4 linked regions of the Styela clava genome follow. The protein of the gene in region 1 purifies or fractionates together with the protein of each later gene. This does not show direct contact. Links are inferred from orthologs where the notes say so. Each region holds a gene or a part of one and is shown in the gene's direction. Other genes may lie near its edges. The genes, in order: WD repeat-containing protein 76-like, poly [ADP-ribose] polymerase 1-like, DNA repair protein complementing XP-C cells homolog and T-complex protein 1 subunit beta-like.

Region 1 (7,745 bases):
ATAAACCTTTCTTACATTCAGGCCAATCAGCCAGTCTATGCCTAAATGAATGCAACATGTCATCTGCTCCAGCCTCCAGATATGTATATGACTGTTTCAAAATATGTGTAATGAGTCTTGCGATATTTTCTCAAGGTAAATCAATATTTAAAACTTTATTTGCATCTGTATATAGTAAATACTAGGATAATAAATTGAAAAAGAATAAATGAATATTTAAAATGAACACATCAATGTTGAAAAATAAATGTCTAGTATAGAATTATTCGCAATGGTTATTGCGGGTGAACAAAATCGGACTCTGTGCACCACAATTACGGTTGTTCACATTTGATTGAAATCCCGCCATTTTTCTGATCTCAGCACTTCACTGCATTCAACTTTTTGGTTTACAGGTTTATGGTATGGATTTGTTTTGGATTATCATTAGATTACAGCAATAAATTTATTTCTGGAATATATAGTTAAGTATAACAGGATGTTAATGTTAATCCAAGTGTAAATAATGTCATAGCAAGAATTAGAAAATCCATTTCAGTAAGGAGAAATATGGAACAATTTAGACAAAAACCTAGTTAGACTATATAAGATTATGAACTTATCATAATCTGCAAGAACCTATGAATAATTGTATAAATTTTTCTTTTCCTGCTAACAATAATTAAAAAACATGTAAAATAATGTTTATTTACTGTTAAACATGGTGAACTTTATCTGGAATCAACAATGGCTGAATGGAACAATATACAGATATGAATTACCGGTACTAACTACTATATGATGTTTATGAATATAGACTAGCCTACTTGTTTATTATATTATACGTGACTATAATTTTTCATCATTTATTTATTTTTATAAAACTGTTTTGAATCCACAATGTGAAACCTTAAAAAAATAAAAAATAGTCTATAATGTATAACAGGATTTTCTCAATGATTCATATTTTACCATCCGAATTATTAATTTGTTTCATTCATTTATCTTTCTGTCGGTAGGCTAGACCTATTTCAGTATTTATATTTTATGTAACTCTGTAACTAAACTACCAGCTGACCAGTGCTGTAGTGCCTAATTCCAGAATTCTGTAATTTACGCTCACCTCGGATATTGTTTGAAAAGGTGCTCATTATATGTGTACAGACATAGCATACACACAAAGGTGCTTTAATCACCCTTATGATATCTGTCTGTCTGTCTTGCACACTTCCAAGCTTCTGCACTTAATCCAATATTCTGGTATTCAAGTTGTCGGTAAACAGGTAAACCAAACTAGGAAACCTAAAACAGTTTAGCAATTATTAATCAATCAAATTAGTCTATCATAGTAGTCTACCATTTACTGTTAAATTTAGAAATGTCCACTTGATTCTGTGATTTCTTCGATACAGTATAGCACACTGTACTCATTCAACATCGAGCAAATTGTTTGCCGCCTGTCAGGAATAACCCCCACATTAAAAGACATAAATTATCTGATTATAGCAGTGAATACAACGCCCTCCTATACAAGCCAGTCTCCATATCGGCAAAGCGGCATTGCGCAATAAACTAAAAGGAAGCTCAATCTAAAAATGTAACTACTGGATTCCTTGTAAAAAATACTCCAATTCCCCAAGGGAAAAAATTTTACAGTAGCATTCGAGAGTTTTTGGCAAAAAGCGCAATTGATTCAAATTATTATCGAGACAAGCATGTTACGATCTGCCATTGTTTAAAATTTCTGATCACTCTGTTTTATGGTATATTTGGCTCTATTTTGTCAAAGCATCACAGCTCTGGTCCTCAGCTGTCTTCGCAATATTTAAGGCATTATTAACCTTTATTTGATATAAATATTCAAATATCCAATTCATCAGCCAAGAATTTCTTATTATAAATACAGAAATATGATTTTTTCTTTCAAATTTCAGTTTTATATTTTAAGGATACATTTAAATATATAATGTCAGCAGCTGATGAAGACACTGAATTACGTGATTTACTTGTGCAAACATTGGATAAAAACGGTGTTCTTGGTAAAATCAAAGCTGAATTACGAGCAAGTATATTTTTAGCTTTAGAGGCACAAGAACAAAATAAGACTCCAAATCCTTTGAAAAATACAAATCTTCAAAAATTTGTACTAAACGATGACGGAAAAGCATGTATTGGTATAATTAATCAATTTTTAGAATATTTTCATCTTGATTACACAAGTGCAGTCTTTGAACCAGAGACAAATATTTCAAAAGATTTAATCCCAGATGAAAATAAAGTTCGTGATGTTTTACATTTGGGACCAAGCGTGGATAGAGAACCATTGCTAGCACAAATGGTGAACAATTTAAAAGAGAAAAAATCATCGACACCACAGGGACTTGACAATCATCAGATACAGTTTCTTAGAACAAAATTTGATACTTTTGATCCTGATCATTCGGGTTTAATTAGCCAGAAAGACGTCACATCAGTTGTCAGTCTTGCTTGCCCACTTTTTCATCCTTCTATTTTGGAAAAATTTGTGGCTGAGGAATTCAGGAATAAATATTCTTCAAATGTGACTTTTGATGGTTTCATGAGTGTGTTTCAAAAATTATATGAAATGTGTAGCTCAATTACAATGGTCGGTAATCAAATAAGACCAAATTCTTTACCTACTAGAGTAAAATCACCTGAAAAAAGATCATCGTCTGAAGAATTCTATATGAAGCAGCCATCTTTTCATCAAGTACCATCTTCACCAATTCCTATGTCTGATCCTGAACCAGCGAGAACCTCCGGTGCTGATCATGATTCTGGCGGTTTACCTTCAGCCTATTTAATGCCAACCAATATGGCACCACACGATGGCAGCAATAGTATGGATGTGAGATATGATAATGATTTAGATTTACAATCTAGAAAAAGGGATCCTATTGATTTAAATATAGATGGTACTCGGGGGAGAGGTGATTTACCTGAGGGTTACACAGATACTCCAGCTATGAGTCCAGAATCCAGCAGAACAAGTGATGTTTGGCCAAACAAGAAACAAAAAACAGATGAACCTTCAAGTCATCAACAATATGAAGATGACTTCAACAGTGAACAAAGCATTTCTGAAGATATTCAAGACATGGGAGATGATTTACTTCAAAGTAGTGAAAAAGACGAAAGCCTGGATTTGACAGAGGATCGAACAGTATCAGAGATTCCTCATGCTGATTACATGGAAGATATAAGGCACGGTTGATGATGATTGTAGTATTGATCTTGTATTTTGCACAAAATAAATGATAAATTTCAATGGAAAAAGAAAATTTATATGGGGTTGTGAATGTGATTGTACTCGGAGTGACTATCGATGAAAAATAGGCTTCAAAGTTCAAAGAATTTATATTGGTCTTTGTTTAAAGAATGTTTTCAAGCACAACATGCAACAACCACGATTGATTACTGTTATTTTTACTTGATATACAAGTTGAAGGATGCTCATTAAAATTTTCATATATCTAGTCTAAATTATGCTTCTACCAAGTTAATAGAAATGTGTAACCTCAATAAAACATTTATCATTTGTTATTATGTCAATAAAAACATTCTGTTCCTCAATTCCTAGAATATTCTAGTAGTGTTTGAGTTTGAATTATAAAACAACGAAAAATTTCTCTCAAATACCATGATTATGTACCTGACTTTTGATACATGAATGAAAGCGATACTATTTGGTAAAAAGTAGGTAGTACATTTAGTGATGTTCAAGATAAATCAGATATTTTATATGCATTTTATGCATGCAATTTTGCAAAATCAATGCATTAAATGCCTGATTTTAAAAATTGTATAAAAAAATTTTTCTCGAAAAAATATATTTGTGCCTTTGCCGATCAATTTTTAGTCTAAAATCAATTTTATTGAATCCTATCTCACCCAGAGTGTACTATATTGTTCTGGTCCTTCCAAACTATAATACCTCCTCACCCACCGGGGCTTCTTGTACAGAGCCTTGCTTGATTGGAAGGAATATAAATATCCGTCATGAAAAAAAACTAAGAAATCAATCCAAACGAGTTTATCTCAAAATTTACTGCACTGTAAATATTAGTCTTTACCAATGTAATACCGGTAGGTGTTATTCAAATTTCTCAGTTAATAATTGAGATAGTAGTAGGGTAATAAATTTTTTGGCCTCCATTTTCATTCAAACTATGTTATATGATATTTGATGGCATTGCTATATTATAACTTACTGTAATTGTTCTAACATTTTATTTCTATTATGAATATTGGAATATTAATATTGGAAATAATTTTGGAATATTTCCATAGAAAACTAAGTTTTAATTGAAATTAAACCATAATGGCTGCTCTTAAACAGACTCGAAAAGTTTTTTTTACATCAGTTTGTTTAAATCTAGATCAAGAACGATACCTTTATATAACAAAAAAGAAGTGGTTTTCGAATACATGGAATTATATTTAGTTTTGAGTAGGTTTTTTCAAACATGACATGTATTGGACAACATTTACTTAACAATATATGCCTATTATAATTTTACTATCTAACTTTAACATACAACATTCTCATAATATGAGGTGTATGTTATTATAAGTGATCAATATTACTGTATTTCAATTCTTATTTATTTATTCAAAGTGCTTAATCATTTTGGTTTTACAAACTAGGATACTCATATTCAATGAAAATCATAAGATTCATTCTTAGCCAGAATTGAGTTTTTGTAACACATTTTTTACTTTTTTGCTGCTATTGTTTATTGATTTTTTGTAGGTCATAGTTAAACTTATGTAAGATTGTTTTGATGTTCGTCGGGCAACATGTCAACAATGCGACTAAGATCAAAGCGTTTGGAACTCACTGGTAACACTACGAAACATGTAAGTATGTGTGCGTAAGACAGTTGTGAAGTCGAACAATTTTGGATGCAAATCCAAACAATGACTTTGAGCCATTTTAAAAAAAAATGACTTCAGACAAAAATTTTGTCTTGTCCCTCGACCAAATATTGAAGGAAATATTAACTCTAGTGCTGAACCTGGATAAGACCTAGTTATGATACCAAAAACTTGGCATATGCAACAATGCAAGCCCTTTTTTAATGGCTTTTGAAAATGTCAACTAGGTACTTTTTGACTTTGATCTTCAGTTACCGGTAAATGTTTTGAATCTTATTATCATCAGTAATATATTGAAATTCTGACTCCAACGTCAGTAAAAACATATCAGACTAGTCCTGGTCTGTAATGAGGAGTTTGATGCTCACATTGATAGGATGCTAATACAGGAGGAATATAATTAACCTTTGAAGTATGCTTCATTCAATAATCATCAGGAACATTTTCCCTGAACCCTGGTTCAAAATATTACATATATGTTTATCATATAATATTTCTGCGTTCATATTTTCAATACCCTTTCTCTAGATTATTTAAAGCAAATTATTTAAGAATGTAAAAGACTTTTAATGTTTTGAACTTTCTAGATATTCACGTTTTGTAATTTCTAGTGTTCAATATGAAATAAACACAAAATTTTGATTCATTCAGAAAACACCTCTGAAAAAACCAACTATCGAATGTTCAATTGATGTTACACCAATTGGAAATAATTCACAGTTTGGCAAAGGAATACCAAAACAATCAATATCTGCTGTCAGACGATTAGATGAACTTTCACAAGATGAAGAAATAAGTAATATTGTCTAAACTTTTGATTTATTTTTTTTTTTAAACCTTGCACTACTAATATTTACAAATATCAAGTACTGATCAACATTTTGGTAAAAAATATTGAAGCAAACAATGTCTGCTGTCATACTACTCAATAACCTTCAGAATACACAAGATGAGGCCCAAAGTACGGTAATATTGTTCGAACTGTTGAAGTGCTGACATTTTTTTCAAAAAATCTTTACTACTGTCTAAGTGTCTATTGATCTTTGTAAATATCAATTACCCTCCTAAGTATTAAAATGATGAATGGTCTGATAGCTTGATGGTATCTGCAACATTGTTAAGCTCTGTTAGAGACCAAGTCACAATTCAAGAAACAATCTATTTGAACTCTTCGTTACTTCTATATCTTAGGTACATCTGCCAATGAGAGCAATAAGGAAAATATGGAAATGGACATTGAAGATATTCTATCGGATTCTTCTGATTCAATTAACACCAGTGATGAAGATGAAGATACAAGGGTAGGAGTTCTGAAATAAAAATTTTGAATATTCATTTATCAAATGTAGAAGATAAATACTATCTATTGATGAATTTGAGTTTTACAAAGGCGAAAAGATTTACAAATGCATCATAGAATATCTGATATTGTAGCAGACCCTATTCATAATGAAAATCTGTGAATGTATTCAAATTATTGTTTCTAACTTGAAAAGTACTATATATAAAGTTGCTCTTGAGATTAAGTTTGAAAATTCTCATTTTTCCATTTTGTGGTGCGGTGGCCTAGAGGTTAAAGCATTGTAATTGACTATAATAGCATCGCAGGTTGAAATACCATTCTCACCATCTCATTTGTAGGTGATTCAGAGCTCAAATGATTTTGGTCTTTCCAAACTATAGTAGCTCCTTACTTCGCGGTGTCTACTTGTGCTGAGCCTTGTTCAGAGCAAATGGCATATATGTACATAATATAAAAAATGTAATTTCCATTAATTGAGTAGGTATTTTATTAGATGGAAAAGTATATGAAGAGAAAAAATCGAATCATGGAAACAAAGCAAGAAATGTTGAAGAAATTAGCAATTGTGGAATCAACAAAGGAAATTCGAAATGCAATGATCAGAGAAAAACAGATTACTAAAACAGAGAAATCTGCCACAAAACAAAGTATGCTTTAAATTTCATCTCAAACATCCTCTATTCTATGCAAAAGGTCTCGAATACAGTGATACCTTGGTAGTCAAACGACTCGATACCTGAACGATTTGGTAGTTGACCAAAATATTCTAGTCAAAAATACTGCGGTACTCCAACAGAAATTTGATGCTCCGACACCCGAGTGTGCCACTGAGTGAGAAGACGTTACCCAAACCATGCATCTCTTCTGTCTCTCGACCATTCAATAATAAGATATTTGGACACGAAGGTTAAAATGAAGTAGTACAAGTATGCAATCTGTAACAGTGGACTACCGGTACAGCAATCTTCATGACTAATGCAAAAACTGAACCGCGATTAGTACGCAATTTTTGATGACGTCATCCTCATCGCTCACAATAACAAATTCCATTAGAGCCGAAAGAAATTTGCTCAAACATAACTCATCCAAAATTTTTTATTTTTATTATGTACTCATTTAAATAAATATTGTTGTCAGGTACATGATTTGTTAATATTTTGGGTATATTGTACTGCATAAGGATGAATTAAAATAATTACTATTGTTTCCATTGTGCCATTGTGTACATTGCATACAAATTGGATATGGAACTTCATTGTACAATGATATCAAGTTCAGTTTAACAGTAGTAACTAAATACTCAAAATTAGAAATACATTGGAAGTTCGAATGTAAATCTCAGTTTCACAGATATAACCATAATTGTCCAATACTATATTGAATATTTGTGTTATATTTGTGGCAGATAGTGAAACCCACATTAACATACAATACCCTGTTAGATCCAATTCACTGCGAACTCAAGAGGGGATTTCGATTGAAACATAGTCCACTTATAGGGTCATTATGTCTGCTATAATATTTTCCTTGGTATACAGGGGCAGGAATATTAAAAAAGAAAGGA
Region 2 (7,497 bases), about 4.2 Mb from region 1:
TGGATAACATGACATACTGGATAAAGCATTTTGAAGCGTGGCCTAAAAATCTTCCGATTTGCGTTCATGCTGAAAGGCAAACAATGGCTGCTGTATTATGGTTAGTGGAACTGTACACAAGGCCTGTGCATTTTTGTCATGTTGCTCGCGCAGAAGAAATACAGATGCTTCGCTTGGCTAAAGATCGTGGTTTACCCATTACTTGCGAGGCCGCACCACACCACTTATTCCTGACTGAGGATGACCTGGACACCATAGGTCATGGACGAGGTCGTGTTTGTCCATCACTCGGCACAAAAGCAGATCAGGATGCGTTATGGGAAAATTTGGACATTATTGACTGTTTCGCGACGGATCATGCTCCACATGCAGTTTCTGAAAAGGATAGACAGCAACCATTGCCACCACCTGGATTCCCTGGGCTTGAAACTATGCTACCGCTCCTGCTAAATGCAGTAAATGAAGGGCGATTAACCCTTGAAGACTTAATTTTAAGATTGCACACTAATCCAATGAAAATTTTTAACTTGGCTTCACAACCCAATACCTATGTTGAAGTAGACATGAATGAAGAATGGATCATACCATCTGAGATGCCGTTCACTAGATCTAAATGGACACCATTTGCTGGTATTAAAGTGAGAGGTGCCGTAAAGAGGGTTGTCTTACGTGGAGAGGTTGCATATATTGATGGTAAGGTCCTTTCACGTCCAGGTTCTGGCATGGATGTTAAAAAGACTACTCAACCACCCCCAGTGGTTTCAAATGTACCGAAAACTACAGCCTTGAAGGTTTCTGTTCCAGAAATGCCTTTTACTACTCAGCAAATTAGCCCCAGGCCCGGTACTTCTGAAGGGCAACTCGGATTACCACCTAAAGTACATAGAGTATCAGAACCACCTAGTGGCCTACCAATACCACATTTTGGACCAGTCGGTGATGCAGGTTCTGGTTTATTGATGACAAAGAGAATTGAAAGTGACAAAGGTATGACACCTCAAAATGCAAATGTGCTTAGGGGAGCTATATTGGGAAGTGGAGGAATATCGGGTAATTTGGAAGGTAAACTTCATCCTCAACATGGTTTGGTTGGTTCTGATGTATTGAAGGTTTCCCAATTCACCAAAGAACAACTTCACCATTTATTCAATGTGGCTCATGCTCTTCGTAACATGGTACAAAGAGAGAAATATCTCGGAAACATTCTAAGCGGACGAGTTATGGCATCTTTGTTTTACGAAGCCAGCACGAGAACAATGTGCTCTTTTCATGCTGCAATGCATCGCTTAGGTGGATCCGTTATTGCAATGAACAAAGCGTCATCATCTGTGTTAAAAGGTGAATCTTTAACCGATTCTGTGCAAGTCATGTCTGGTTATTCTGACATCATTGTGTTGCGCCATCCAGAACCAGGAGCTGTAGAAAGAGTTGCAAGGCACGTCAGAAAACCTGTCATCAGCGGGGGAGATGGAGTTGGAGAACACCCTACTCAAGCTTTGCTTGATGTCTTCACTATTCGAGAAGAACTTGGAACAGTCAATGGAATGACTATAACCATGGTTGGAGATTTGAAGAATGGTCGGACTGTTCATTCACTTGCTCGTTTGCTAACTTTGTATCGTGTCAGTCTTCGCTATATTTCTCCAGAATCATTGGAAATGCCTAAAGACACTTGCGACTACGTCACATCCAGAGGAATTCCACAACGTGTTTATTCGTCTCTTGAAGAAGCTTTGCCTGATACTGATGTTCTGTACATGACTAGGATTCAAAAAGAACGTTTTCAGTCGAACGAAGCATATGAAAAAGCAGTCGGAAAATTTGTGCTCACTCCACATTTGATGACAAAAGCTAAGCAAAACATGGTGGTCATGCACCCACTACCAAGACTTGGTGAGATCAAAGAATCTGTTGACAGTGATCCTAGAGCTGCTTACTTCCGCCAGGCCGAGTGTGGACTGTATATCAGAATGGCATTGTTGTGCATGGTTCTTGGAAAGTATTGATTGTAAATCTTTTGATAAACCTGACATTTTTATCATTGTGTCTCTTCCCTTGCTTTTTTCTGTAGATATTATGTCTTTTTGTTGCTAATGTTTGAATTTGTAAGATGAGTTGTGATAATCATTAAAAAGATTGATTGTGAACAAATTTGAAATCTAATGTAACCATTTTTTGATCAATCATACTCGAAGGCAGTCATGATAATGTCATATGATATTTCATCTTAGTTTGTGTTTCTTATGCGGAATTTTATAACTCTTCACTTTTTACATGGTTATGATCATTTTGACCTAGTTTGTGTATTTCTGCCATTTTCAAGTCTTCTGCAATGGAACAAAATAATTGCCATATTTTGACATTGATTTTCTGTGGAAATTACACAAGTGTTATATCTTTTTTAGTGTATACATTGTAACCGCTAATCTAAATGCGGTAGAGCATCCAAAAAGTTAACTATATGTATCTACTGAATGTCATAAATGGCAACAATAATTACCAAAACTGAAATTTGATTTAGGCTGTGGCCAAAAAATACATTCCAACCACAAAATATTAGTATCTGTTTTTGTAAAGACAAACTAAATGTGTGAACCCTTGAACTTTACTTCTTTTATTACGGCCTTTGTGTAAACAGTCTACCCTCGAATTTGAAATTTCATGACGACCAAAAATACTAAAACTGTGTGCCTAGTTCAAGTGTAATCATTAAATAAAGATAATTTGATAATATATCATCTCTGCGAATTTGTTCCCCAATCATATCATTACCATCCTTTACTCCCATTATTTCAAAATATTTACCTGAATGATAATTGGACGAAATCAAATCATCAACGGAAATAATGAAAGCAAATGCTGCCTCGCACCATATGGTACTTAATATTTCATTACATTATGTTTAAAAGTGTAATATTGCTTTTGCATCAAATAATGAATTGCCATGTCCAAAACTTTTCTCATATTTCAATTTTTTCCACCTGCCATGACCAAAATAGTGTCAGAAATTTCCATTTCAGTATGCTGCTTTGTGTTTAAATTTTTCTCCCAAGGGCAGGCAGCAAAACCGTAATGATTGTTTTGATTCAAGTAGTACATTATTGGTAGGATTAAAAGTAGAAAATGGTGATGCAACAAAATGTCAAATTTGTTATTAATTTCAATTGAAAGCACATGATATCCAAGCAAAAATCTGATTAGGATCTACCACCTGGCTGAGAAAAGCTGATAACATGACATGAAAACATTAGTGCAAATCACAAATTCTGGTCCTAGTCAGCCTTTGGATTAGTTTAGTATCCAATTGAATGGACTAAACTGGTATTATAGAAATTTTGTGTAAGAAAATTTTGTTTTTTGAACCATTTTTTTTGAATACTCATCAACATGATGGTGAAAATTAATGAGCCAATAAAAAAGTCTTAATATGTTACCCAAATGTGATATTATGTGAAATACCTTGTTTCATGACTTGACCAAATATTCGCATTTTGTAGTAGGGTATTGGTTTCTTATTATTGTGTGAATAATATTGAGACAATATATTGGTAATATCTTACCAATGAACGTGAAATAAGTTTGAATGTTTTGATATTACATGGAAAAGTTATCATTAGGTCCTATCTGACTCTTAATGTGAATCAACACAGGCCAATATTGCATTCATTACAAATAATTCTTCCACAATAGAGCTTTTGCAATATTTACAAATTTTCCACTGCTGCTATTGCTTCTGCCAATTTTTCTATGCTTGCCAACTGTGTGAATTTGTTATCAAATTTTTTTTCTGCATCTCTTGTCATTTCTTTGGTAGTTTCAAACCTCATCGATATGCGGGTGAGGACAAATAGCTGAAAGAAGTGTAGAACTAATGTACGCTTCATCATCGTTTTCTTGTAAGGCTGTATTTAGACTGCATAGTGCAAATGAATTCAAATTAGGAAAGCTTAAGTATGGCTATCTTTAAGGATGATGCTGTTCGCAAGTTCGATTTCAGAAATTTGGATACCGACTGTGTACTGTAGAGCTTGGTGCTCAATGCCACTTCATGTACATTCCCCGATGACTGAAATAATTTTGTGGCTTTTTCGTTTGGGAGTAGCCTATACAAATAGCGATTTTTTTCGATACAAATTTGAATCATCTACAGGGTATGTGCCACCTTTGCGCTAGTCGTCTCCATTTGCTCAAAATAGAAACTCTCTTCGAAACGAATCACGCATAGTATATACCGTAGGTCAGGATAGCTGACTGGAAAGACGAGATTCATATTTGTTATACTCTTCAGGTCCATGAATTAAAATCGAATCTCTAGTTAGACTACCTATCCCACGTCCAACGTTGATTTGAAGTGAGTGGCTTGCCGTAGCCTGCCATGTTATTGGGCGGTTTGTCATATTTCTTTTCCTCTGATAGATATGGAAATAATTCCGTTTGCGAAGCCGCATCACCTCTAGGTCGCCAGGGTATTTTTTGTTAAACGTTCGTTCAAGACTAGACGTTTCGGCCCACGCGTAAAGAATATTTTGAGAGCGCTTATTTGTAACATCATCTTAGGGTGAGTTGTCGCGAGGCGGGAATGTAAATAAGGCGCTTAACACGTGACCAGTGTGTCAACACGTGCCGACATCAGCCGGTTTGTGTTATTGTTTTGCATCTTCAAATTGCTGCATATGCAGAAATACCTAATACTGTAAAAGGAGTTTGTTTAGGCTGTGTTTTTGGTACTTGATATGGAAGTTAAACAAGATTACGACTATGCTGCTGAATATGCAAAAAGCAACAGATCACAGTGCAAAGGATGCAAAAGTTTGATAGCAAAAGATTCTCTCAGAATCGCGTTGATGGTTCAATCTCCCTTTTATGATGGAAGGGTAACTGTTTGTTTTCTGAATTGAATGTAAGAAAAAAGATTGTAACCTACCGAATTCGTTTATCTAATTACTAGCCTACATTGCTAATGAGGCGAAGTAGCCTACACATCCAGAATTAATACTGAATACCGGAATATTGTATTCTGGTATCGCTGTACTGCTGTATGACAAATTCTATCCGAGTAATACCAAATAACTGAATGAAGGAATTCAACAAACTATTACCCCTGTCATGCCAACTACAGGTCTTGGTCAATTCTTTGTTTTATCTTTAAAACATAATATTGACTGAATGTAATCAATGTAGGCTATCTAAAATACTTTATTGCAGTATTGGCTTGAATTTGAGGTTAATTTATTAAATTACATAAAAATTTTGTTTCAGCAACCCAATTGGTATCACTATTCGTGTTTCTTTGGAAAATGTCGTCCAACGAATACTGAAGAAATAAAAAATTTCAACAGTTTACGATTTCCCGATCAAGAAAAAATACAGGCTCAAATTGACGGTTTTGCTAGTGGTGCGAAAACTAGTAAAAAAGGACCAAAGGTACTTGAATTGCATGATTCAGAATGATACAATTCATGGAAAATTGGTAGCCGAAATTATGTTCGGGTTTATTATTGACTGACTATTGTACATATCGTCGTTGTGCCGTACCTCTTTGTCCTGTGTATTGTACTGAAGTTTTTTCGTATATTTCATGTCTGTTGTCCTACTATAATGAATCAGTCTTAGGTCAGTAAGGTCTCGAACATATATCCCGTCTCTGTTATATCCTTTAATTATTTTTGAGGCAAATAAGCAAACATGCGATACCTTTCCCCAGACTGGATTCCATGGCAGATGCACGCCCGAGGGCGCTAGCGCTCAACAAAAATGCACGCGAGCGAATTCAATTCTGCACGCCGAAAATTTGCAATTGCTCACCAATGTAAATCGGTTTAAATAGTTTTTAAATCAATAATCTAGTAATAGAAAGATGCCAAAAAATTACAACTTCACAATTGTCGACTAGTACTAGCTTGCAAGATTTGGCATGACCGAAAAATGCGAAGCAAAAAACCGTATCGTGTTGAATGAGAAAGATCGCCTCCTCACCGTCGCTGGCCAGTTATGGCTTTGATTCAGCGTATTTTTTTATACAATAATTTTACACGGATGTACTGAACAGTACCGGTATATAAAGTCGCACAAACACTCTCAAAATTAGTGACAATAATATAGAAATAATGTTTGGGGTCAAAGGTCAAACGTCCATTTTTGCTATGATTCAACATATTTTGTATCCAATACCGGTAATTTTACGCGGATGTATTGGAAGGTATCTTAGGTCGAAGTCAGTTTCACGCGGGCGCAGTTGTTTTGCACGCCGTGAGCTATAATTGCACGCCCGAAATTCGTATTTGCACGCGGGAATTTCTGATTGCACGCCCGATTTCTCCTTCAAAAAGGCCATGAAATCCAGACAGGACCTTTCCTACTGCTTTATATAATGAGAATAACAGCAATGAGAATAAAAGGCCTACAGTATATTGCAATTTATTTCTGACATTGGAGTATATTTGTTATCGCTGTTGTTTATTATTTCCATTTTACTTCTTATGTTATCAGATAATCTCAAAAACACTCAAGGATTTTGTGGTTCAGTATGCAACATCGAGTCGAAGTACTTGCCGAGGTTGTGATAATAAAATTGAAAAGGATGAAATTAGATTATCTCACAAGGAGAAACATCCAGAAAAACCGCAGGTTCCATATTTAAATATGTTGACAAGCTTAAATTTGTGCTATAATTAGTTAACCATTCAGTTGCTTGGCTGGAATTTCTCTTTATCTTGGAGCCACAGAAAAATGGCAAAATACTACCTGTTGTTCATGATACACAACAAATCAATTTACTATTTGTTTGAGGAAAGGAGGAAAATTTTCTACACAAGCGGAAATTTTATAAAATTTCACTTCGCCAAACTGTTTTTTCCTGATGTTTGATTATACATTTAGCAGATAATTAGTTTTGGGGTTGTTTAAATCAGTCCATCAACTTCCATGTATATTATTTTTAAAATATATTTTTTTTACCCAGCTGGGATTGGTAGATAGATGGCATCATGTTGGATGCTTTCTCAAAAAGAAAGATGACATGGGATGGCAGCAACATTTCACTGCAGAAATGTTAACAGGTTTTAATGGATTAGATGCTGAAGACAAAGCCAGCATTAGGAAATTATTAGCACCTAAGGAGAAACGATCTAAATCAAAAACAGATGCGAGCGCTGCCTCATCTGCCTCTGCTCCAGGTGAACAAAAAATCTGCTTCATAGTGGACAAAAAATTATGGCTTGTCATATTATTCGGGTCAATCTATGTTGGTTCCTTGTAAATAACTCAAATTCTCAGGATTAGTAATGCCTCCTATATTCAATTTTGAATGGAAAGATAGAGCCTATCTTTGAATATGGACAAATTCTTTATTGACAAGAAAGATATTTGTTATCAATTCCACAATTGCATAAAATATTTTTACAGATCCTGCTAAAGAGGAATTGAAAAAGAAAATGAAGAGTCAGTCAATATTGATGTGGAAGAACATTGACAAATTGAAAAAACTCGATATGAGGA
Region 3 (7,529 bases), on another chromosome or scaffold:
TCACTTTTCTCAGTGGGCCAGTTATAGATTACCGTAAAAGCGCCTAACTTCGGACAAAATTACTATATTTTCGTCAATAACTTGGCCATTTATTGTCCAAAAGGTGCCAAAATTGCTCGGTAAAACATTCGTGCGGTAATTTACATTCCCTGCAAATTTCGGTTCAATTGGACTATTTTTACTATTGAAATAATCGATATTTCTTGCCATCTGACCGTTATCCTTCACTGCCCTAACTTCGGACAGTCATTTTCTTCACTGCGTAACCGCGACGCACAGAGAGAAAGAGGCTTCCGATGCGGATTGCGTAATCACGTCGTTGCGTGAAGATAAGACGTTCGATCGTCGTCGTAACGTAACATTGACGTCACGACCAAAATGCATTAATTGAAACTTCCGTCGTCCTATGTTTACATCTTTCGTTCGTTATTTGCGATACTTCAGATGAGTATAATAACACGTTAGTCATTTTAATCAGAAAATGCATACGTAAATATATCTGATGCAAACCGTTTCAATCCACAATGAAGTATTTTAACAGGCTTCTATCGAAGTCTTTGAAGTATTAATATTCTCGACGGATAGCTTTTTTTTTATCGTGCGCGGTTATCTTTATAATTGATAATTTATATCAAACACACGGTAAATCCGATTGTAAAGTTTAATTTAAAATTCAACTTAATCTTGTAAACATGTAGGTCCCGTTTATTTGTTGGAGATTAAATTTATTTTTAATTTCGAGTGAAAAAAATTCAGCCAGGCCGTATTCAATAACTGTCATTTCGACTACTAATCATAAAATAATGGTTAAGTTAGTGCACTGTGCCATATGGACGTTGGAATTATCATAGTTTTATATGTTCGATTTTAACGTCATCGATTAAGTGTGACATGTATTTTCATTAATGTAATTTTGGCATATATTCATACATGACCGAACAAAATACAAAAATATTACATTGGAACGCCGTCTTTATCTTAACGGAAATTGTCATATTGGCTCCGTTGTGTCTGGCGTCAAAATTCATTTCCGCGACGCAGTGTGACGTCGTGTCGGAAGTGAGCGAAAAATAATCTACGTGAGGTTGACGTAATTTTTGACGCTGCGTGAAATCTTAATATTCTTACGGAATTTATAATTCAGAATTTTAGATTTTATTTGAATCTCGTACGACATCTTGCGATCACTCAAATAAATTATATACATTGTTGTCGCCCTCTACCGAATGATGGTATTTTGACGATGATAGCTTCAGTAGGAGCGACGCTCTGCGCCGTTGAATGCCGGGCAGTCAATTTTCGGCAAAATTTCCGTTTTTTTACCAAAAAAATAATTATGCAACATTAAAAAAGATGAGAATAGATGTAGATATAACAGCGCAACCTATAATAATTGAAATTAGCAATATACGGCGCGTTTTAGCCAAGATATGGCCGTTCAAAAATTTTGTCCGAAGTTAGGAACTGTCCGAAGTTAGGCGCTTTTACGGTACCGTACGGTATGATGTTTTTTGATAAATGCAAAACCCTAATTTATACCTCAACTTCTTGTACAGTACCAAGAGAGTGAGTAGATGGTTATCGTTTCCCTGTTTCATGTCGTTTGGGAATGAAATTATTGTACTGCAGTACTGTAACCTGGTACGGTAAGTGACTTAAGATATAATATGTGGGGAATTACTGTATGCTGTACCTGTACGGTAGCTGATAATAAGAAAATTTATATTCATAGAAACTATTTTTAATTTCAGCAGGCACAAGTGGGCAGGATCCGACCCGTGGGTCGTAATTTCAGACAGTGCAATATATTTCATGACCTCACTGCTAGCGCACTACTCGGATTATTATTAGATTATTCACACATATTCCAGTATTCATAAATATTTCATCACTTTGTGAAAAATATAAATTCACTCTTAAATCATTCATCCATCACTTATATTATTGTCTTTAGATTATATGAACGCATGTTTTTATATATGTTTATATTTTTAATTCGCCCAATTGTGACTTGCATCTAGCCATCAGCAATCATGACTTCAAGTGAGATAATTAAAGAGAAATTGCAAAAAGGTTTGCAGGCAACTTATATTGAAATAGACGATTTGTCGCCCAATATGTGTGGAACTAGTTATAACGTTGTTGTTGTATCGGAACTCTTTGTTGGAAAGTCACGTCTTGAGCAGCAAAGGATGGTCAATGACATTATTGCAGAAGAGATGAAATCGATTCACGCTTTTACACAAAAAACTTATACTCCAACAGCATGGGAAAAAAAGAAAAATGCGTAGTTGCTGAAATAGTATGTTACCATCTCCCACACTTGGGATAGCTGTTAATATTTTCTTTCGCAATTTTTAAATCAGATTTTTAATCATATAATCATAAGGTAGTATCGAAAATAGTCAACTCAAATCTAGGTATGACTGAATGTACACTATCTGAATTAGGTATTTCTGCGAAATATACAAAAGACTTTCTCACAAAGCTAGGAAACCAATGGCACACTGCTAAAAGATTACATACTCCTCGTCTATTCTCTTTACTTGCATTATCACAAATAATTGAAGAATTTCAAGGAGCTGGAATGACGGCTTTGTCTTGTATTGATGCAGTTCCAGGTCTCGGAATGTCAGGAATGATTTGGGCGAAACACTTCGGAAAAAATGTTTCAGTTACAATCAATTTACATGACGAGATTTATATGAAAAATTGTTTGGAAAAAAATCTGAAAAATAACATTCTTGAAAACAATGTATCTATTGTATGTAGGAATCCGAATTCTTTACTACACGAATCAAATAAAAGATACAACATGATATATCTAGAAGCATATGGAACATGTGTAAGGTACCTTGAGGCTGCTTGTTTCTCTATATGCCACAGAGGCGTATTATGTATTGTTTCAACAGACCTATGCACTTTATATAATAAATGTCCAGAAAGAGTGCCAAGAATCTATCATGGGCAAGCAATGAAACATGAATATGGTAAAGAACTTGCTGTAAGGCTCATTTTAGCAAATGTAGCTCGTTCTGCGAGCAGATGGGACCGTGGAATATCTGTACTTTCATCTTATGTGGATGAAAATTCCATTGTTCTTTTAGTTAGAATTTTAAAAGGTGCCACGCATGCTAACAAATCATTGGATTTTATACAAAGAGTCGCTCATTGCAGAGTTTGTCATTATCGTCAAGTTTTGAATGAAAAATTGTACTATGTTCCAATGCCAGATATCACCGACTGCTTTTGCAAAGATGGAGGAATCACAGATGAAAATGTACAACCACCGATTGTAATGTTAGGTCCAGCATATATTGGACCCATATTCGACACTAATTTTGTGATTCAAATGGCTAAAACTCTTACCCAAATTGATATTAAAAATAAACTTGTGCCAGTCATGCAAAATATGACATTGGAAAGTTTGTGTCTTGATTCTGATGAGCAAGAAGTTGAAATTATTAAACTTTACAAGGAAACAATAGAAACTCAAAAAATGTCTAAAAGCCAAGATGCTAATGAGCCGTCTGCTAAAAGATTGAAACCAAATGATAGTTTGGAGTCGATTATTCAAAAATATTCTTCGGAAACTTGTCCGATTTTCTACTATATTGTTGAGTCTCACACTAAAAAAGGGTCAAATCCTTTGAGAATTCTTGCTTCTATTCAAAAGTTGCGGTCGGTTGGATTTCGGGCTTGTGGAACGTTGTTCGATCCAAGGGGAGTTAGGACTACTGCCTCTCCCAGAGAATTTAGAAAAGTAATTAACAGCATAACATCAGACTGAAAATATTGACATCTTTTGTCTTGTGATTTTAATGAAAGCTGTAAAAAAATTTCATTTTATGCACAATAGAACAAAAATTTTTCATCTTTGCTGTGAACCGAAACTAGTAGTTGCTTAACCTTATGTGAAAAAATTCGTGCAGGATCCAAAATGCCTTACCTCAATGGCCCGCTTGTCAGTGAATTTTGTAGTTTATTTTTATGGAGCATTGATATGAGTTGAATAGTTACATATTTACCTGAATTGGGTGTTTTTAGATTTTATTCCATTATACCTTCTCAAGCTCTCAAAATGTGTTTTGTAGTTATAGATTTTATTTGAACTATATTTTGTCACGATCCTACCATAGGTATTAGACATTAGTAAAACACATCAATTAACACCCAATTTATAATTTGAACTATAAAATTGTATAAAGCAGTGGTTTCCAACCTTTTTCGCTATATTCCTCTTTTCGCGCATATTTTGGAACTACTGTATTTATTCAATCAGTAATGAATCATTAGCTTGTATTATGTGTGTATAAATAAGCATTAGAGTAAGAATATTAGCAGTTTTACTAGACCAAAATCACAGCACAAAGTTCCTTCGGATTGGGAAACGCTGGTATAAAGTATTATTGGAAATGAAAGTATCATTATTTGAGGAGTCTACTTATACTGTCTCTTTTCCCGTATTATCTTGTAAATTTTGAAATGTGAAGTTCCATGTAGAAGTGCTTAATGTGAAGAAAATATTTTGGGCTTTTTATTAAATTGCTCCATTTATTTAAAATGTTTAGAAGAATAGTGAATAGTTTAGGTTAGCTTTTGTAAAGATGTCACCTGATACAACAACAGAAAGTAGTGATGAGGAATGGGAAGAAGTTGAAGAATCTCAGAAATATGAAGAAGAAGAAAAAGATGTTGTTCCATCTGCAAATGTGGAGGTGATTACTATTTGATATCTTGAATACAAATGTTTTATCTAGTCTTGTATTTTAGTCCTTGTTTCTTTTGAGTTATTTTGGCCACTAGATTGGTTGCTTGCAGTCATTTACACTATAATATGGTCCTTCCCCTTCAGTGTTGAGAGTATCAATAAAGATAGATTTTAACTCTACTACTATTCTCTCCACTCTCAGTTGGAGGCTCTCAATTTTGCTTTGAGTAATCTAGTATAGGCCCTACTAGAAATTATGTTTAATATGAAAATTTTTCTACTTTATATATATATATATATATGATGTACCTGTGTTTTATTTGTATATTCTCATATTATCACCTTGCAGTAATCAATAATAAATCCTAAAATAGTCCCTCAATCTCAAATTCTTGAACAACTACTTTGAGTATTGAGTATCAGTCAAATTATACAAATTAATTTTGCATAGATATTGAATATGTTTTTGATTATAGGTTGAGTTGGTTCCAGATGCTGTGAAGAAGAAACTAAAAAGAGAAAAATGGGATCGAGAAATGGTTGAAACATGCATTAGGCAAGCAGCTAAGAGAATTGACAAAGAAATGCAAACTGTTATGCATAAGGTAAACAAATTTGGTTTCAGCTCAGAAAATATGATGCATTCTGATGGAAAAAGTATTTTTGTATGATGATCTGAATTTCAATACAAATTTTCTAAAGTGTCCCATCATTCAAAAGACAAAGGATGATTGACGAAGCTCAATCTTTAAAAATTCAATTTCATTCAATTTAACTAATTTTCCAGGATAATTTGAATTCTTGATACCAGGATAACACAGCAGGGAATAGCCTAAATATGATTATATTTAGTAAACCTCTTATATGAGTGGTTCCTATTTTTTTATATTTCCTGGGAATGTCTACTCAAATGTGATACGGCACACAAAAACTAGCCCCCGCTCGTTTGTCATTTCATCTACTGCGGTTACCACGGTTACCCCACCAGTGGTGCCTGGAGTTGTTCTCTCGAATCACCATGAACGACACTGGAAACACCAGGTTGCTTAATCGTACCGACATGGCTGATTTCTGTCATTAAATATTGTTCCACTTCCTTTACTTGTTTTTTTATGAGATTCCCTCAAAGATGACGCTGTTTGATAACCGTGACTGGTTTATCGCGTCTCCCATCACATTATTTTATATTTTACCTTACTTTTGTATACTTTCGTATTTTCGGTATGTGAAAAAAAACATTACTGATTACTGACTCATTGAAATTATCAAAATATAGGTTCATCTTATGTGTCTCTTAACAATGGGAATGCGTGTTAACCGAATTTGCAACAATGAAGAACTCCTATCAAGAACATATTCTTTACTTCCCAAGAAGTACCATGATGTCAAGCCGAAACATGTCTCTGCAATGTTCTTAACAAGGTTTGAATCGTTTTGTAATGCTAAAATCTATTCTTTTCAGCTGTTCATTTTTTTCATTTTTCATCCATATTATCATTTCAAAAGTTTTAAGTTGAGTTTATAGAGTTGAAAGTTCAATGTTTAATTTTAAAATTTGAATTTGTGTCTCACTGCCGCCAAATTGCATTTAGACTGAGAGTAAATTCAGATTTACTTTTGCACAGGGTACCAGTGCATGTAACTCTTATTTCTTCTTTTTTTCTCTTTTTTCTTCACTATCTGTGTTTAATTCAGGTTTATACAAGATATGCAAAAAATATTTGAGACTGAAAATGGGGTGGAAAAGCTTCTTGGTTTTGGAATGCTCAGATTACCATTCTTGGAGACTAAGATGAAAAAAGCTCTGGAAGCACAAAAAGTCAAGTTCAAGTTGGATTGGGTGTTGGTAAGTCTTCAGTTTTATGACTTTTGCATAGATATCCATTATTCATAAACAAACATGGAATTGCTTAGGGTAGAACACATTGATTTCTATCTTTTCAATTGAAGAGGGGAAGAATATTCAATTCCAACTTCCAAGATATACTGTTATTTGGTTGCAATCTCACATAAGCGAGTAAAATTTCAGATAGTTTTTCAGGTTACTATCACCTATTTCATAGATGTCCATGGATATACTTTACAAGTTTTTTTATTCTCAGGTTTTTGTCCTTGCATTGCGAGCCATGGGATTGAATACAAGGCTAGTGGTATCATTACAGCCTCTTCCTTTGAAAACACCAATAGAGAAACGAGATGTGAGTATTTTATGAAGAATTTCGAGGCTCCTAATTAGTTCAAAATGAAAAATATTAAATGACTGTAAATAAGAAAAATCACAACCGTGCTTGATGATATTACTTGATACTTTTTCAGGAGAGCGTTGCTGCGATCAAATCGAAAATTTACGCATCAAAGAAAAATAAAACTAAAGATATTCCGCTTTTAATGGACAAGGACAGCAAGGTGATACTTCAACTCGATGGAGCGAATGATTCTCCGCAGAAACGACGAGTTACTCGATCATCCACTGCGGGAGTGAAAGTTAACAATGAAGAATCCGTCAATCCTGTTAAAGCTCGGAAACGAAAAATAGCTAAAAAAGATTCCGATGAAGAAAATGCTGCTCCTTTAAAAACAAGGAGAAGTAAATTGAACAAAGTTGAAGAAAAAATTACCGAAGTATCGACAGCTGTAGCAAAGAAAGAAGTAACGAAAAAATTGAGAAAATCAAAGAAAGATACAACTGCAGTCCAAGAAAGTAAAACTAAGAAAGAAAATGTATCAAAACAAAAAGTATGTTACTTACAGCGATTCAGAAGTAACTAGCCAATTATATTTATCCAAGATTGTCTTGCTTAACAAGTTATGAATATTC
Region 4 (7,856 bases), on another chromosome or scaffold:
TTTATATCATTGATAAACTGTCATCTTCTCTGATTGTTTTTGTTTGTTTATTTCCACGGTATTGTTTACATATTTATGACAACATAATTAATTTAGATAAATAAATCAAACATAACAAACACTATATTTGACATCAATGCTCGCGAATCTTCCTGCGCTTCAATACACATTGTTTATCATAGCTATTCACCAAAAAAAAAATGCCTCAGATACAATTTTAAACAAACATTGGATAAAAACAATACCTGTACAATATTTCACTCAATAAAATTGACGCTTTGCCCTCTACTTCGATGAGGAATTATTCGCAGTAATGATACAAAAACACCTGCCTTCGGTCGATTTTTTGCAAAAGGAGTCGAATTCATTGATATAATCACAAAATTTACAATTTCGATCTGAAGTTTCAAACGTCTTCTAAATAAAACAATTACGACGCTTTCTTCTGGTTGACCAATGAGAGGAACACCTAACTAATTATTTTATCCTTTTTACGCCCAACCTAAGCGTTTGCGGATACATGAATGCGAGTACAAGATACCGACTGTAGCACAAATTACGCGATCAATATCAGAAAGTAGTCAGTTCTCAGCTCAGTGGCTGTAATCTGAAGTAGCAGTACGCTCTGCAAAATTGTGTGAAAATTGTTAGGCCCTACTCTACCGTTTGCGAATACATACATGCAAGATCACAAATTACGCTACCAATCTCAGAAACTAGTCAGTTCTCAGCTCAAAGGCTGTACGATCTAAAGTAGCAGTCAACGCTGCAAAAAAAGTGTGACAATTTTTACGTTATTGTAGTTGTTTACTCCATCGAAATTTAATACAAGCGGATTGTAATAACGTACGTAATCGATGTTCTTCCCATCATTATGATTTGTTGAAGGCGAACTCAAAGTACACATTTTAGGTGTAATGACCTCATTAACGACAGAATGGAAGTCAAATTTAACAATATTTTCACGCAATATCCACGAACTCGTTTACCATGAAGACGTCTAAAAGGAAATTACAACACGTAATAAAGGAAGTCGGGTATAATGTAGCAGGGAATTGAAGCATGCATGAGCAAACATGGCTCAAGATATTACATGTTTAATAAAATAAATTTAATGTCGTTCATGCTTGATATTACATAACTATAAATTTTGTTGAATTCACAATATAGTGTGAGTCGGTTTGCGCCATTTGCGAGAAAATCTTTGGAGTGACTTATTAATTTTCTGATTTCCACGTTACATGCTTAGTCTCAAACCATTTGCCTGAAGTTACCCGCTGGCCGGTTACTGCCTCCCCATCATTAAGTCCATGCATCTGAAACAAATAGCTTGCCAACTAAACCCGTGCGAGACCCGGACTTTTGGTATTCTGGAGCCCGTGAAGAGGTGAGTATCATTTACACCGCAATAAATTTTAAAAAAAACATTGTTACTTACCGATGAATGTTTTTGTGTATATTAAACTTAGGCCTACGTTATTTAATGACTCGGACGTATTTATAGCTTCTTTGGACAGTTACAGGTAAACGAATATCTCGCGGAGCCCTGGGTTTATCCCGCGGAGCCCTGGTACTATTTATGGATCACTTTGAGAACGTGTGAGACACACGCGTAAGCCATCTTGTAGGCCTTTCTTTTTTCCCCGGGACAAGTATGAAAATCCCAACCTGATTGAAGCTTTATATCTACTTTGGCATAGATTTGATCTTGAAATTCCAGTGCTTTACCTCTGCGTGACCTACTTCTATACCTTATGTACACTGTGACTGAGTTGTACTAGGACAAGTTAACTTAATATGGCGTGAATACCGTTAACACATCACAGTGTATCGCCGTCAATCGCGAACTCGTCGTATTGCCTATGACGTCATATGTTCATTGAAATTTATTGATTCTGACGTCACTGTATTTCATCAAACTGACTGCTTTCACGTATACCTAAATTTTAATCAAGAGAGGGTATCTCTTGGGAAGAAGAGACGTCAAAGAAAAGAGTCGAAATCGAAGTACATGCCTCCTTGCAACAGTTGTAACGAAATTCTCATTCCATCTTACAAATTTGAATCAGAAATATTCAACATCAACTTTGGCTCCCGACAGAACAAAATTGGTAACAAAATTGAATTGGCACCATCAAAACTGTGGCATCGGCACAACTGTTACTAGTTTCAGTTCGAAATTTCAAATTAGTTGCATCCACTAGTTTCAGTCCGAAATTTGGGCTCCAGGACTTTTTAAAAACGTTGAATTCTAACGTCATGCAGTTAATCTTTCGATCGACGCTCTGAGGATACCCTACCATTCAGATAGCAACAAAGCAATTAGGGCCAATAAGCACCCCTACTCCCGATTGATTAACCGGTGACCAAAATTGGAAGCGAAAGGATATTCGCGGGTCAGGAGAGGGGAGCGCCCTCAAGGTGATGATACCGGTTCCGATAAAAATATTTACGATACCGGTATAATTGAATTGTTTCGATTATACTACTGATCGAACTGTGACAATGACGTAACATTTGGCGGTATCTAAAACGCAAAAAAATCATAAAGTGTTGAATCATAAAGTTTGGCGAGCGATATTGACCGTTATGCGGGCCGTAATTGGCCCGTGGCCGCGGTTCGGGAACCACTGCTCTAGACTGCATGCCTATTATACGAAGCGAATCCGTGGTTAATTTTTCTTTTCTACAAATTATTGTTATTTTCATCGGTGGGATTGGATTGATTGTTGTTATCGTTGTGAAAAATCGCATAGCATAATGCTGTCCGTGTTTCCGAAAACAAATAACTGGCTAACTAATCCCATATCCGAAATGGACTGGTAACCGGACGAGATGCCGTGGTTTGCCATATAATTAAACTGTCTTTTCGGCATTTCTTTCCCCTGAACAAATATGTAAATCCTATCCCTCTGATTACTCCGCTTGGGTTCGCCTGCTGTGTTGGATAATTATGTACGAGAAGATTGCTTGGCACACGATCTCCGTCGAAGCGTGGTTCAGGTCCATGGTCTATTGTAACCCTAGTTCATCTCAATTGTTTGGACTGATATATTCCCTCTTTTGCACACACTCCAATTAAAATATATCCATACGGTTTAATCATATGACAAGCTACGGCGTCTCGTCCGATTGGGTGTGGAATTAGTGTAGATGCAAGGACTTGATGGTTTAGGAAGTCGTATCGGGCCAGCGGTTACGAGAACCACACTGCAGCGGCGAGTAGTCCAGCAATCGCACATAATTATTTTCCTATAAGATGCGAGCCCACTTTTGGTAATCAGGGGCGCGATGGCCAGCGTGTTTCTCACGCTCACCACGATGCGCCATATCGCCGAGCCAGCATCTGAAAGCATGGAAAATTAAGGTGTCTGACGTTGCATTATTATTATTATGGTATCGCATTCTCGTATTACACAATTTGAATCTTAATTATACTGTTCATACGCTGCGCAAATATTTCTGCGTTTTGTTAAAAATAAAAATTGGGAAGAAGCGCTGTGAAACCGGGTGAAACTTTCAATGACCAGTCGTTATAAAACCGCTTGAAATAGGAACTGGAGTATATAATATAGTTGTTAGGAGTCTGTTTATGCATACTCGAGTGTATGAGCAAATTTTGAAATATACTTTCAACGTAATATTTTTAAATTAGGTATTTTAAAATTAATAATTCTAGTATTTAAGGAGTTACAATATTCATAGTAGCTATCACTATGATAATTTTTGAGAATTTAGCTTCCGAGTTTTATTATTTGAACAAATGCTCCGGTCACTTCTTTCTCATCGACGCATGGGCCCCTCGCCGAATGTTCTCGACTGGCGATCTTAGTAACCGTAACGCTGTAATGGCGGTTGGGCGTTTTCGAACGACCTTCTGTTTTTGTTTTTCACAGGCTAGTCTGGTGTATACAAGTTGTGTTTGTTGGTTGTTGAAATTTTAAAGCTTATTAGGTTACATACCAGGACTGTTTTGTTTCTAGCTATACGATACCTGTGCTAACTATTGTAAGTTCCGTTGGTTGATGCATTTCTGCATTTGGAGATTGAGGTTCCAAATTCTCTGTTAAAGAGGCGCTGAGTTTGCCTTACTGATTTATATGCTTCTTGCTAACAGCAATTTTGCATCTCATTTCTTGGGTTAATCTCCTTGTCATTCTGTGGGGTGACTGGTTGATGAAAAGGAGCGCATGTCGCACATTTGTGTTTTAGGCCAGTACGGTCTTGTGCATGCGTTGCGTCTCCAATATTAATATTGTCAATTTTTTATACTGCTTACTACTACGAGACTAATAAACATACATACATACATACAAAAATGCAAACAATACCGAATACATAAATTTTACTACTTACAGACTGATCCATACCATTACCATGTTTCCTTAAAAAATGAATGCGCTATTATGAGTACCTGAAGAGCAAATTAAAAGTGTATACTAACTTTTGGACACCCTGTATATGGCGCACCTAATTCTGCAATCCATTCGCCAGACTTTTACTTTTTGACTCTGTTAGTTGTGTAGTTACGGTAGTACCGATACACGATAGTTCATGCATTTGAAACAATATCGGTAACATATGTTTTGTTTTGCAAGATGCATAAAATTAACTCTTTCCTACTACTGTACGACTGTCAGACTGTACTACTGTTTTATATTTTCTATCAGAGCTTCTCAAATTTAGCACCATCTCATTTAAAACATTTCTGTATTTGACTGGCTGTTTTTAAACAGCTATATTTTTATCCTCTTAAGATAGTATTCAATTTTATTTTTTAGAGAAAGTATTCTATAAAATTTCGATATATCATGTATTTCCATATTTATGTCTTCATTTTTAGATTCATAATCTAATTTATTTACAAACTGTGATCTCAAACAAATATCTTTCAAAATGGTGAGTACGTAGATACTAATAATACTGTAATACCTGGACACGGAATCATTGAATTTGAAAAATAGTTGTAATGACATTACTACCTATCGGTCATCAGATAAGTCTGATTACAGTACAGCACACTATCCAAATTCCAGGAATTTCCCTCCATTTGGCTCAATAAAACAAACACTCTATGTGTCTCACAAACGAGGGGCACCTGGGACCACGTCAGATGCGTCATATCACACCATGCTTGTCTCAATAATAATCTAAATTAATCGCGGTCGTCACATGATCAAAATTGCCGTTTTTAACTAAAAAATCTCGAATGCTACGGTAAAATATTTTTTCTTTCGGTAAATCGGATTATTTTTTCCCCAAGGAATTCAATGATGAGTTAGTTATTAGATTGCGCTTCTTTGTAGTATTTTGCGCAACTTCATTATACTGTATTATTACCGATATTGAGGGACAACAATGTCCTGACGTCTCCCAAAAGAGGGGTGTCTAATCATTTGTAAATGGGTTTCTCTGAAACGGGACAATGTCACCCGATTTGTAGTGTGCCGTACTGGATTGACAATAAAATTGCTAAAGTGGACCACACCTTTAATATTACGCAAACGCCCAAAATTACGTAATGAGACGTTAGATATATATGGAAAATTGTATTCATGTATTCTACCTTGCATGACCCAATTCATTTTTACTGTTTCAGATGTCCTTAAGCCCAATCTCAATTTATAATGCTGGAGCAGATGAAGAAAAGGCAGAAACCGCAAGATTGGTGAGTATAAGAAATATTCAGTTATATGCAGTTTCAAATATTATTTTTGAATCAATTTTCCTTTATGGTAGGAATTTTTTCATAATTTGTCTAAGCCAAATTAATTTAAGGTTTTATCCCACGAGCTTCAGTTAAGTAAAATTTTCTACCTCAGGTCTGTTTCTTGATCATTTTGAAACTGCTCGCTCATGTAATGCACCATCATGAATCTATATTCTGATATAGTTTCAGTAACTTTCGGTATTTCAACAGTCGCTCTTAATTTGAATCTTAAATTATGGAATCAGCGATCATCTTTAAATTTTTAGTCTTCATTTGTTGGAACTGTCTATCTCAATGGTATTTCTTGGTTATTTTGAAACTGCTTCAAGTCTCAGGCTTGGAATACACCATCATGAATCTTTCAGTAACTTTTAGTATTTCGCCGGTCGCTCTTAATTTGACTCAAAGATGAGTCTCCTTTACTTATGAGCCATAAATCCATAGTTTCGCTAGCTCTTGGCAATTCAGTAACTTCATAACGACCATAACTTCAATCATAGATGAGTTTCTTTTAATTCTGTATGAGTGAGTGTGACCTTGATTTGAGCAAATTCTTTTCAAAGAAATGGCTCGTCTTTCTTACTTTGTGGTTTCGGTTACCCATGGTATTTCAGTTGCCATTCATATTTTTGCTCGAAGTTGAGTATTGTTTACTTCTGTGTGAATCCACCTCGATTTGAGAGAATTTTTCAAAATCAGCAATCATATTTAAATTTTTAGTCTTCATTTGTTGGAGCAATTGCTATCGGTGATCTCGTGAAATCAACGCTAGGTCCAAAGGGAATGGATAAAATATTGATGAGCGCTGGACGTGAAGGATTGGAACCTGGCATCACTGTTACAAACGATGGAGCAACAATATTGAAAGCTGTCGGAGTTGATAATCCTGCTGCTAAAGTCTTAGTTGGTAAGTTCGGATGGATTTTTGTATTTATACTGGGGATAGCCAAAGCCGATAAAACTGCCTATTAATTACCTGGCAACCTATTTTCCTGCTACCTTGTTCAGTATAGTGTCCCCTCTTACATGAACATCCACAAAAGAATCAAACCTAAGAACCTGCACATAGAAATATCGCCATGTTCGGTTATCTCATTATACAATAAAACTCAGCCTCTCATTACTTAAGTAAGTATGTTGATAAGTATTTGTCTGTCTGTTTGTCTGTTAGATGCACGCGATATTTCACGAAGGCGTGGTTGAATCTGCTCCAAATTTTGCATGTGCATTCATCATATCTCGGACCAGAAGCCTATTAATTTTGGATGAATTATGTCGTATAATTAGCGAGTTAATAATTAATTAGTGATGGGACACGCGGTGTCACTATAGTCATGAATCGAAATCGCAGTTTCGATCGATAAGTCTTCGGTCTCCGACCGATATTCTTGTTTGTTTACCAGTCCGTGCCGGGTATGGAATACGAGTATATTATTGTTTGACTCACAGTAATTGACTTTATGGTGATGGAAGCTGTAATTGATCGGTTGTCATTGAACCACCATACGAATGTAAGGAGTCCAAGAACCCTCTCAAATAAATATCTCTTACAACGTGGAATCTGATCTCGCATAACGATAATCAGATATGCAACGGCGCGTTTTCAATAATTCGATTCAGCTACTCTGTTTGAGCTGAGTGGCTCTACTATAGGTTTTGATACCGAGCATATGCAAATTATATTCTAGATTTCAATCTTTGCATTAAATTTAACACCTCTCGATCTTCAAACAAGGATTATGCTATAAATCAGCAGTTTGTACATAAGGTTTTAGTGTGATTGATAGCACTGCTCCTAAACCTTCATTGCGTCGAAACGAACTTAATTGCTATTGCTTCATCATTTAAATAAAAAAATTTAATTTTCTAATTCCCAGATATGTCCAAAGTTCAAGATGATGAAGTAGGAGATGGAACAACGTCAGTTACTGTGCTTGCTTCTGAGTTATTAAGAGTAAGTGCTATTGTAGTAGGGGTCACTCATCTGTGAGAGGCCAAGCAAGGTGTTCGATTGTGCTATTTGTATATGCCTTCAGTACTCTGTTCAGCATTGAAGGCAGCACAGAATTGCCAGATCTGCAAGGAACTCAGGACCAACATTAAGATGTCTGATTTAAGGGTGTGGCCAGGGATTTTCAAAGGGAGG

What was found.
Region 2: the proteins of WD repeat-containing protein 76-like (region 1) and poly [ADP-ribose] polymerase 1-like purify together in Homo sapiens (affinity purification with mass spectrometry; 4 studies listed by BioGRID and IntAct, with this or other methods). This does not show direct contact. The link is inferred for Styela clava from reciprocal best matches to the Homo sapiens genes WDR76 and PARP1.
Region 3: the proteins of WD repeat-containing protein 76-like (region 1) and DNA repair protein complementing XP-C cells homolog purify together in Homo sapiens (affinity purification with mass spectrometry; 3 studies listed by BioGRID and IntAct, with this or other methods). This does not show direct contact. The link is inferred for Styela clava from reciprocal best matches to the Homo sapiens genes WDR76 and XPC.
Region 4: the proteins of WD repeat-containing protein 76-like (region 1) and T-complex protein 1 subunit beta-like purify together in Homo sapiens (affinity purification with mass spectrometry; 4 studies listed by BioGRID and IntAct, with this or other methods). This does not show direct contact. The link is inferred for Styela clava from reciprocal best matches to the Homo sapiens genes WDR76 and CCT2.

The regions. Positions count from the first base shown.
Region 1 is NC_135251.1:17,054,074-17,061,818, reverse strand, and holds the start of WD repeat-containing protein 76-like, read left to right. Parts: upstream 1-4,734; 5' UTR 4,735-4,800; coding exon 4,801-4,860; intron 4,861-5,529; coding exon 5,530-5,674; intron 5,675-6,069; coding exon 6,070-6,179; intron 6,180-6,674; coding exon 6,675-6,828; intron 6,829-7,719; coding exon 7,720-7,745. Other genes in the region: uncharacterized protein LOC120336343, read left to right, coding at 1,946-3,214. UniProt on the Homo sapiens protein: Specifically binds 5-hydroxymethylcytosine (5hmC), suggesting that it acts as a specific reader of 5hmC.
Region 2 is NC_135251.1:21,237,540-21,245,036, reverse strand, and holds the start of poly [ADP-ribose] polymerase 1-like, read left to right. Parts: upstream 1-4,482; 5' UTR 4,483-4,733; coding exon 4,734-4,874; intron 4,875-5,259; coding exon 5,260-5,424; intron 5,425-6,489; coding exon 6,490-6,627; intron 6,628-6,961; coding exon 6,962-7,175; intron 7,176-7,404; coding exon 7,405-7,497. Other genes in the region: multifunctional protein CAD-like, read left to right, coding at 1-2,006. UniProt on the Homo sapiens protein: Poly-ADP-ribosyltransferase that mediates poly-ADP-ribosylation of proteins and plays a key role in DNA repair.
Region 3 is NC_135258.1:14,477,884-14,485,412, forward strand, and holds the start of DNA repair protein complementing XP-C cells homolog, read left to right. Parts: upstream 1-4,511; 5' UTR 4,512-4,607; coding exon 4,608-4,718; intron 4,719-5,187; coding exon 5,188-5,316; intron 5,317-5,987; coding exon 5,988-6,133; intron 6,134-6,406; coding exon 6,407-6,557; intron 6,558-6,813; coding exon 6,814-6,909; intron 6,910-7,027; coding exon 7,028-7,447; coding exon of another isoform or gene 7,448-7,449; intron 7,450-7,529. Other genes in the region: tRNA (guanine(27)-N(2))-dimethyltransferase-like, read left to right, coding at 2,423-3,790. UniProt on the Homo sapiens protein: Involved in global genome nucleotide excision repair (GG-NER) by acting as damage sensing and DNA-binding factor component of the XPC complex. Has only a low DNA repair activity by itself which is stimulated by RAD23B and RAD23A.
Region 4 is NC_135255.1:22,610,270-22,618,125, reverse strand, and holds the start of T-complex protein 1 subunit beta-like, read left to right. Parts: upstream 1-4,835; 5' UTR 4,836-4,896; coding exon 4,897-4,899; intron 4,900-5,599; coding exon 5,600-5,668; intron 5,669-6,430; coding exon 6,431-6,617; intron 6,618-7,587; coding exon 7,588-7,664; intron 7,665-7,856. UniProt on the Homo sapiens protein: Component of the chaperonin-containing T-complex (TRiC), a molecular chaperone complex that assists the folding of actin, tubulin and other proteins upon ATP hydrolysis.